2 linked regions of the Macaca fascicularis genome follow. The protein of the gene in region 1 binds, or shares a complex with, the protein of each later gene. Links are inferred from orthologs where the notes say so. Each region holds a gene or a part of one and is shown in the gene's direction. Other genes may lie near its edges. The genes, in order: POR and HMOX1.

The links.
Region 2: the proteins of POR (region 1) and HMOX1 are in contact, whole or in part, in a crystal structure (PDB 3WKT), measured with the Rattus norvegicus proteins. The link is inferred for Macaca fascicularis from reciprocal best matches to the Homo sapiens genes POR and HMOX1. Residues at the interface, in NP_113764.1 of Rattus norvegicus: Thr88, Thr177, Asp208, Asp209, Arg313, Arg514, Lys515, Gln517, Arg519, Leu520, Phe522, Lys523, His626, Lys665, Met667, Thr668, Lys669, Gly670, Tyr672; in NP_036712.1 of Rattus norvegicus: Asp12, Ser14, Glu15, Gln38, Ala75, Pro76, Glu81, Lys149, Ile150, Lys153, Ser171, Asp173, Asn174, Thr176, Lys177, Phe178, Lys179, Gln180, Leu181, Arg183, Ala184, Arg185, Asn187, Thr188.

The regions. Positions count from the first base shown.
Region 1 is NC_088377.1:51,678,699-51,682,502, reverse strand, and holds part of POR (NADPH--cytochrome P450 reductase), read left to right. Parts: intron 1-2,205; 5' UTR 2,206-2,209; coding exon 2,210-2,397; intron 2,398-3,804. UniProt on the Homo sapiens protein: This enzyme is required for electron transfer from NADP to cytochrome P450 in microsomes. It can also provide electron transfer to heme oxygenase and cytochrome B5.
Region 2 is NC_088384.1:16,285,571-16,290,020, reverse strand, and holds the start of HMOX1 (heme oxygenase 1), read left to right. Parts: upstream 1-1,599; 5' UTR 1,600-1,681; coding exon 1,682-1,704; exon of another isoform or gene 1,705-1,905; intron 1,906-4,392; coding exon 4,393-4,450.

The DNA.
Region 1 (3,804 bases):
AGTGAGCCGAGATCGCATCACTGCACTCCAGCCTGGGTGACAAAGCGAGGCTCTGTTCCCCCCCCCGCCAAAAAAAAAAGTCATATCAAAAAAGCCAAATTGAGGCCAGGCACAGTGGCTCACGCCTGTAATCCCAGCACTTTGGGAGGCCGAGGTGGGTGGATGACCTGAGGTCAGGAGTTCGAGACCAGCCTGGCTGACATAGTGAAACCCCGTCTCTACTAAAAATACAAAATCAGCCCAGGAGTGTTGGCGGGCACCTGTAGTCCCAGGTACTCTGGAGGCTGAGGCAAGAGAATCGCTTGAACCCGGGAGGTGGAGGTTGCCGTGAGTTGAGATGGCGCCATTGCACTCCAGCCAGGGCGACAGAGAGAGACTGTATCTCAAAAAAATAAAATAAAAAAGAAAGAAAAAAGCTAAATTGAGATGAGCTCAAACCATTGGAAAAGCATCTCAGATTAGTGAGAAAGCAAAGACCCAAGCTCACGGGCCTGTCCTGAATGGCCTGTTCCCAGCAGGTTGTGTAGGGGTAGACTGATGCCCACAACCCTCGGATGCCCTAGCTTCGCAGACCAGCCCTGTGGTTTCCTGGTGACAGTGACAGCCATTGGCAGTCAGCTAGAACATGGTCTTTCATTGCCTAATTGCTGACACATGACTCAGGCTTTCCTGATTAAGTCTGGGTGCTCTGCTTGTGGTGAAAGAAACCCAGTCGGTCATCTCCGTGATTGCAAAATGGAATGATGTGAACTTCAGGGCTGAACCCAGCCTCCTCGGTAAGCAGCCGAAGCTGCTGTTTCAGGGACTCTCACTTGGACCTTTGTTGACTCATGTCAGATCTGCCTATCAGGTGTCGGTGGTGGAAAGACCAGTTGAGCATCTTTCGAGGGAACTAGGCTGGTGACATGGGGGTTCCCCAAGACTGCCTCTGATTCAGTGATTCACCAGGACTCACGGAACTCAGGAAAGCTTTTTGCCTACGATGACAGTTTATTACAGCAAAATGATGCAAATTAAAATCAGGAAAGGTCAAGGGCACATAAGGCAGAGTCCAGGAGAGGCCAGGCGTGAGTGTCCAGGTGGTCACACACGAGTTTCCATCATTGCTGGTCACACTTAATTCTCCCAGCAACGATGTGTGAGAGCACCTGTGAAGAACTGACACCTACGGAAGGTCACCCAAGCCAAGGTTTCCGGGGTTTTTATTGGTGGGTCAGTTGTGTAGGCGTGGAGCGTCTGGGTCCGAAGGCTTGCTTATTCCATCTCCAGTACCCACAGACATCGGACCGATACAGCACGATTCGAAACCCCAGGCACAGGGCCTCATGCCTGTAATCCCAGTGCTTTGGGAGGCCAAACCAGGGGAACCACTTGAGCCCAGGAGTTTGAGATATAGCAAGCCCCTGTCAGTAGGAAAAAAAATTAAAAATGAATGCAGTGGCACACCCCAGTAATCATAGAAGTTCTACTTGGAAGGCTGAGAGGATCACTTGAGCCCAGGAGTTTGAGGCTGTGAGCTGTGGTTGCACCACTGCACTCCAGCCTGGGTAACAGAGCAAGACTCTGTCTCTTAAAAAAGACAAACAAAAAAAGACACCCAGGCATAGGAAAGCGGGCATTCACCAGACATCTCATTGTTAACAGGAACTGTCTTCATAGCCCAAGGTCTTAGGAACACAGAGACACTCTTGCCAGGCAGGATAGTCCAAGGCTCGTGAATATCAGGAACCACTCAAGGGCCAGGCCTGGAGACTTTTGGAGCACGCAGGATTTAGGACAACCCCAGCCAGCCACACAGTTGGGGAAAGGGTTTGCTGCAAAGTGGTCCTGTCTCGCGTGGACTCCCTCCTGCCACCGTGCAGTGTCCTTGTGGGATTGGAGGAAGTTCCAGCACACTGAGTCAGTGGCTATCATTCTGTCTGTCTACCGGGGACTCAGTCCCAGCGGCAGCCTTAGCTTGCACCCCAGGACCACGCTGGGCTGGTGCTGACACCACTGGGGGCCGTCTGTTGTGTCAGCCTCAGTCCAAGGCTGTGGCTGTCTTGGCAGGAACCTGGCTTGGTGAGCCGCTCCTCCTACCCAGTGCAGTGACCATTTTCTGCAGCCCCAGGGGCATGAGGCCCAGCATTCAGGTGGGCACCCCAGCCAGCCTCAGGGGCATCCTGCTCCCCGGTGCTGACGTCTGCTGTTTCTGTCTCCTAACAGTTTCATGATCAACATGGGGGACTCCCACGTGGACACCAGCTCCACCGTGTCCGAGGCGGTGGCCGAAGAAGTATCTCTTTTCAGCATGACGGACGTGATTCTGTTTTCAGTCATCGTGGGCCTCCTAACCTACTGGTTCCTCTTTAGAAAGAAAAAAGAGGAAGTCCCTGAGTTCACCAAAATTCAGACATTGTAAGTGCCACCTCTCAGCCTCCTCTCTCTGTCCCTCTTCTGTCACCACTCCGAGCAGTGTCCTGCCCACGGGCCTCAGGCTGAAAGAAGCAAGGTTCCTTGTAGCATTTTGGGGCGACTCTTGGGTTTTGCCTTCTTGCTAGATTGTGCTTCAGCTCTCCCTTAATCATCTCCTATGTGGGGTTTATATAAGGCCCTTTTCTATCTGCTGTTTATTTGACCTTCAGAGGAAGCATTCCGAAAATGACACCAGTTTTCAGATTAAGAACCTCGGGCTCAAGGGTGTTAACGGGCCTGCCAAGGTCATGAGCCAGCAATAGCAGCACTAGAGCTGGAACCCTTTTTTCCCTTTTATTTATTTATTTGGAGACATGGTCTCACTGTATTGCCCAGTGCAATGGCAGTGGCATGATCAAGGTTCACTGCAGTCTCCACCTCCCAGGCTCAGGCAATCTTCCCACCTCAGCCCCCCAAGTAGCAGGGACTAAAGGTGTGCATCACTGTGCCCAGCTAATTATTTTTTATTTTTTATTTTTTGAGGCGGAGTCTTGTTCTGTCATCCAGTCTGGAGTTCAGTGGTGTGATCTCAGCTCACTGCAACCTCTGCCTCCCTGGGTTCAAGTGATTCTCTTGCCTCAGCTGCCTGAGTAACTGGGATTACAGGTGTGAGCCGCCACGCCCAGTCAAGTTTTATATTTTTTTTTATAGAGACAGGGAGTCACCGTGTTGCCCAGGCTGGTCTCGAACTCCTGGACTCAAGCGATCCGCACACCTCGGTCTCCCAAAGTGTTGGGATTACAGGCATGAGCCACAGTACCCAACCTAGAATTGACATTTTAAAGTCTTTTAAGGCTATAGCCACCTGGAACGCTGTGTGCTAATGAGCACAAAATCTCTGGACAGGCCTTATTTTGTTGCTCTTTTAAACTTTTCATGAAGCTTCCTTTTAAGAATAAGTGAAAAAGATGGATTCGTTAAAAGAAAAACGTTAAGGAAATAATAATACAGATGGTATGTCGATAGGAAAAAATGATACCGAAGGTCTGCCTAAGTGACTGCATCCCTGTGTCTCCAAGATTGATTTCCATAAGCCACACGGAAAAGTCATTCTCCAGACTTTAGGGTCCTGCAGCCACAATCACTTCCTGTGGTTACGCTTGGCTGTGTTTAACACCAATCTCAGACTGCAGAGGCCCGCGGCCAGGTTTGAGTGGGGTCCTGCCAGGTCAGGTCTGGGCTGAGGGAACTCCAGGGGCACGGGCCTGCTGCATTCAGGGACTCCCTGGATTTGGCAAGGGGCAGGTCTTCAGGCGCAGGATTGGGAGCCATTCTCAGACCAGAACCCCTTTCATTCTGTCTGCCTGCAGGGGACCCAGTCCCAGCTGCAGCCTTAGCTTGCACCCCAGG
Region 2 (4,450 bases), on another chromosome or scaffold:
CACAGCTCACTCCAGCCTCTACATCCCAGGCTCAAGCGAACCTCCAGCCTCAGCCTTTCAAGTAGCTGGGACCACAGGCATGTGCCACCATGCCCAGCTAATTTCTTTTCTTTTTTTTTTTTTTTGAGACGGAGTCTCACGCTGTTGCCCAGGCTGGAGTGCAGTGGCGCGATCTCGGCTCACTGCAAGCTCCGCCTCTCCTGGGTTCACGCCATTCTCCTGCCTCAGCCTCCTGAGTAGCTAGGACTACAGGCGCCCGCCACCGCGCCCGGCTAATTTTTTGTATTTTTAGTAGAGACGGGGTTTCACTGTGGTCTCGATCTCCTGACCTTGTGATCCGCCCGCCTCGGCCTCCCAAAGTGCTGGGATTACAGGCTTGAGCCACCGCGCCTGGCCTTTATTTTCTATTTTATAGAGACAGGGTCTCCCTATGTTGCCCAGGCCAGTCTCGAACTCAAAACAATCTTCCTACCTCAACTGGGCTCAAAGCAATCTTCCCACCTCAACCTCCCAAAGTGCTGGGACTACAGGTGTGAGCTACCATGCCAGGCCTGAAAGCCATCTTATAAAAAACAAAAAAACATTAGAATGAGAATCATAGCATTGGGAAATGACTCTATGAAATCTATGAATCATCTGGTCCATTTGTTTTGTCCTCTGGGTTCACCCAATGACCCTCTTTTCCCCAAGTTCTCAGCAGTGCACCTCATGCAGAATTGATTCAATAGGCGATCAGCAAGGGCCAGCTCTGCTCTGGGCCCTGAGCAGGCACTGAGTATAAGTCAGACCTGAATGTGCCTGGAAGAGTGTCCCACGCAACCCAGCAGGGAAGCAGTTTGTATGACAGGTGTCCCAGTCCAGGCGGGCACCAGGTGCTGCCGGAGTGTGGAGGAGGCAGGCGGGGACTTAGTCTCCTCCCTGGGTTTGGACACTGGCTTCCTGCTTTATGTGTGACACCACTGCACCCCTCTGAGCCTCAGTTTCTCCAGCTGCAAAATGGGAGCGATCTACCCCCACAGGTCAGTTGTAGGGATGAACCATGAAAATACTGGAGTCTCTGTTTTTTGACAGGAACTAAAAAACCAGATCCTAAATGTACATTTAAAGGGGGTGTGAGGAGGCAAGCAGTCAGCAGAGGACTCCAGAAGGTGGCAATTTAGGGAGCTGGAGACAGCAGGGTCTGGGGTTGCTAAGTTCCTGATGTTACCCACCAGCCTCCTGCTCTGAGCAGCGCTGCCTCCCAGCTTTCTGGAACCTTCTGGGATGCCTGGGGTGCATCAAGTCCCAAGGGGACAGGGAGCAGAAGGTGGGGCTCTGGAAGGAGCAAAATCACACCCAGAGGCTGCAGCTTCTCAGATTTCCTTAAGGTGTGTGTGTGTGTGTGTGTGTGTGTGTGTGTGTTTTCTCTAAAAGTCTATGGCCAGACTTTGTTTCCCCAGGGTCATATGACTGCTCCTCTCCACCCCACACTGGCCCGGGGCGGGCTGGGCGCGGGCCCCTGCGGGTGTTGCAACGCCCGGCCAGAAAGTGGGCCTCAGCTGTTCCGCCTGGCCCACGTGACCCGCCGAGCATAAATGTGACCGGTCGCGGCTCCGGCACAGTCAACGCCTGCCTCCTCTCGAGCGTCCTCAGAGCAGCCGCCGCCCGCGGAGCCAGCACGAACGAGCCCAGCACCGGCCGGATGGAGCGTCTGCAACCCGACAGGCAAGCGCGGGGCGCGGGACGGGCGCCTTTCCCTCCCCTCCCAGCTGGCCTCCCAGTCCCACCCGGGACACTGCCACGCAGCGACAGAGCCCGGGAGCCAGAAACTTGGGCCCTGGAGTCAGGAGGCGCGGGGTTCTGATCCTGCCTGTGCCCGTAGGGTGGCTGGAGGGAGGAACGGTGATTTACATGCCTGGCACCCTGGTATGCGGTTGGGGACCAAGATGGGAGTGTCCTTAGAGTATCCAGCCTTTGAGGTAGCCAGTTTTTGTTAAATCCAACTTTCGAGGTGTGTTTGGAGTTGCTCTCTGCTGAATCTAGATCTCTGGGGCTTCCCTGTGAGGGAGTCAATTTTGTTTTAATCCAACTTTTGAGGTGTGCTTGGAGCTGCTGTCTGCTGAATCTAGATCCCTGGGGCTCCGCTAGCCTGGGAGAGCATGCTTGGTTCTCTTGGTGGCATCTGTCCCTCACTAGCTACGGAGGACCTGAGCCAGACATCACCCTGGCTACGTTGTTCCGCGTCTCACAAATAAGGATTGCCCAGTTCAGGCAGGCGACACGCCCTAGAGTACTCAGTCAGCAGGTGTCAGAACTGGGTGTTGAACCTTGGCCTGCCCACCTCCAGGTCTCGCTCGTTCCCTTCTTTCAAGAATTTCTTAGTTTTTTTTTTTTTTTTTTTAACTCCTGGGCTCAAGCATCCTCCCACCTCAGCCCCCAGAGTTAACTGGGACTTACAGGCGTGTGCCGCTTCTCCCAAGAATTGGACCAGCTGTGTTGTAGAACAGGGGATGATGTTCCGGGAAGCAGGGCGGGAGGAAAGGGAAAAATGACAGTTCTATGGGGACGCAGGGATACGGACCCATGACAGAAATACTCCCGGAGAGATTTTTTCTTTAACTAAAGCAGAATTTTTCAGAATTTTTAACCCTGACGTCTTCATGATGAGCATAACATGATAGGGGGGTCATGAGATTTGCATCTGAAACTTTAACAAAATAACTGAATTAAATATTGGGTCTAAAAGCCAATCAAAACAATTACAAACTTTGAGATGCGCGTTCATGGGGCCTCTGCTTTTTCCTGGGTTATGCTGTACCTCCTCCTCCTCTCCACTGGGAACTACCGGTACCAGGATTTCCCCCTTGGTTTGGGGGACTGTATTATTCAGTGTTTTATTTTATTTTATTTTATTTTATTTTATTTTTTTTTTATTTTTTATTTTTTGAGACGGAGTCTCGCTGTGTCTCCCAGGCTGGAGTGCAGTGGCGTGATCTCGGCTCACTGCAAGCTTCGCCTCCCGGGTTCACGCCATTCTCCCGCCTCAGCCTCCCAAGTAGCTGAGACTACAGGCGCCCGCCACCACGCCCGGCTAGTTTTTTGTATTTTTAGTAGAGACGGGGTTTCACCATGTTAGCCAGGATAGTCTCGATCTCCTGACCTCGTGATCCACCCGCCTCGGCCTCCCAAAGTGCTGGGATTACAGGCTTGAGCCACCGCGCCCGGCCTATTTTTTTTTTTTTTTTTTAGACTGAGTCTCGCTCTGTCACCCAGGCTGGAGTGCAGTGGCCGGATCTCAGCTCACTGCCAGCTCCACCTCCACGGTTCACGCCATTCTCCCGCCTCAGCCTCCCGAGTAGCTGGGACTACAGGTGCCCGCCACCTCGCCCGGCTAGTTTTTTGTATTTTTTAGTAGAGACGGGGTTTCACCATGTTAGCCAGGATGGTCTCAATCTCCTGACCTCGTGGTCCGCCCATCTCGGCCTCCCAAAGTGTTGGGATTACAGGCTTGAGCCACCGCGCCCGGCCTGGCCTAGTGTTTTAATGACTGAAGAGTGTTTACAAGGCTGCAAGAGTCACCATGCCCAGCCTGAATTTGTTTTTTTGTTGTTGTGGATTCTGGGGTTTTTTTTTTTTTTTTTGCTTTTTTTTTTTTTTTTGAGATGGAGTCTTGCTCTGTCACCAGGCTGGAGTGCAGTGGTGCAATCTCGGCTCACTGCAACCTCCACCTCCTGGGTTCAAGCTATTCTCCTGCCTCAGCCTCCTGAGTAGTTGGGATTACAGGTGCCCAACACCACACCCGGCTAATTTTTTTTTTTTTTTTTTTTTTTTTTGTATTTTTAGTAGAGATAGGGTTTCACCAATGTTGGCCAGGCTGGGCTCAAACTCCTGACCTCAGGTGATCTGTCCGCCTTGGCCTCCCAAAGTGCTAGGATTACAGGTGTGAGCCACCATGCTTGGCCTTTTTTCTTTTTCTTTTTTTTTTTTTTGAGATGGAGTTTCTCTGTCACCAAGGCTGGAGTGCAGTGGTGTGATCTCAGCTCACTGCAACATTTGCCTCCGGTGTTCAAGCAGTTATAGGCATAATCGCCGGGATTACAGGCATCCGCCACCATGCCTGGCTAATTTTGTATTTTTAGTAGAGATGGGGTTTCACCATGTTTGCCAGGCTGGTCTGGAACTCCTGACCTCAGGTGATCCGCCCACCTTGGCCTCCCAGGTGCTGGGATTACAGGCGTGAGCCACTGCACCCAGCCACAAGGCTGCATCTTAAAGCGATTGGGAATGTGGCCTGAATAAGAATGGGAGTCCTTGGAGGCCTGCTTATAGGTGGGTGGCTCCCCTGAGCTCAGCAGTTGGGAAGGACCCCACCCCCAGCCAGCTTTGTGTTCACCTATCCCATTTCCTCCTCAGCATGCCCCAGGATTTGTCAGAGGCCCTGAAGGAGGCCACCAAGGAGGTGCACACCCAG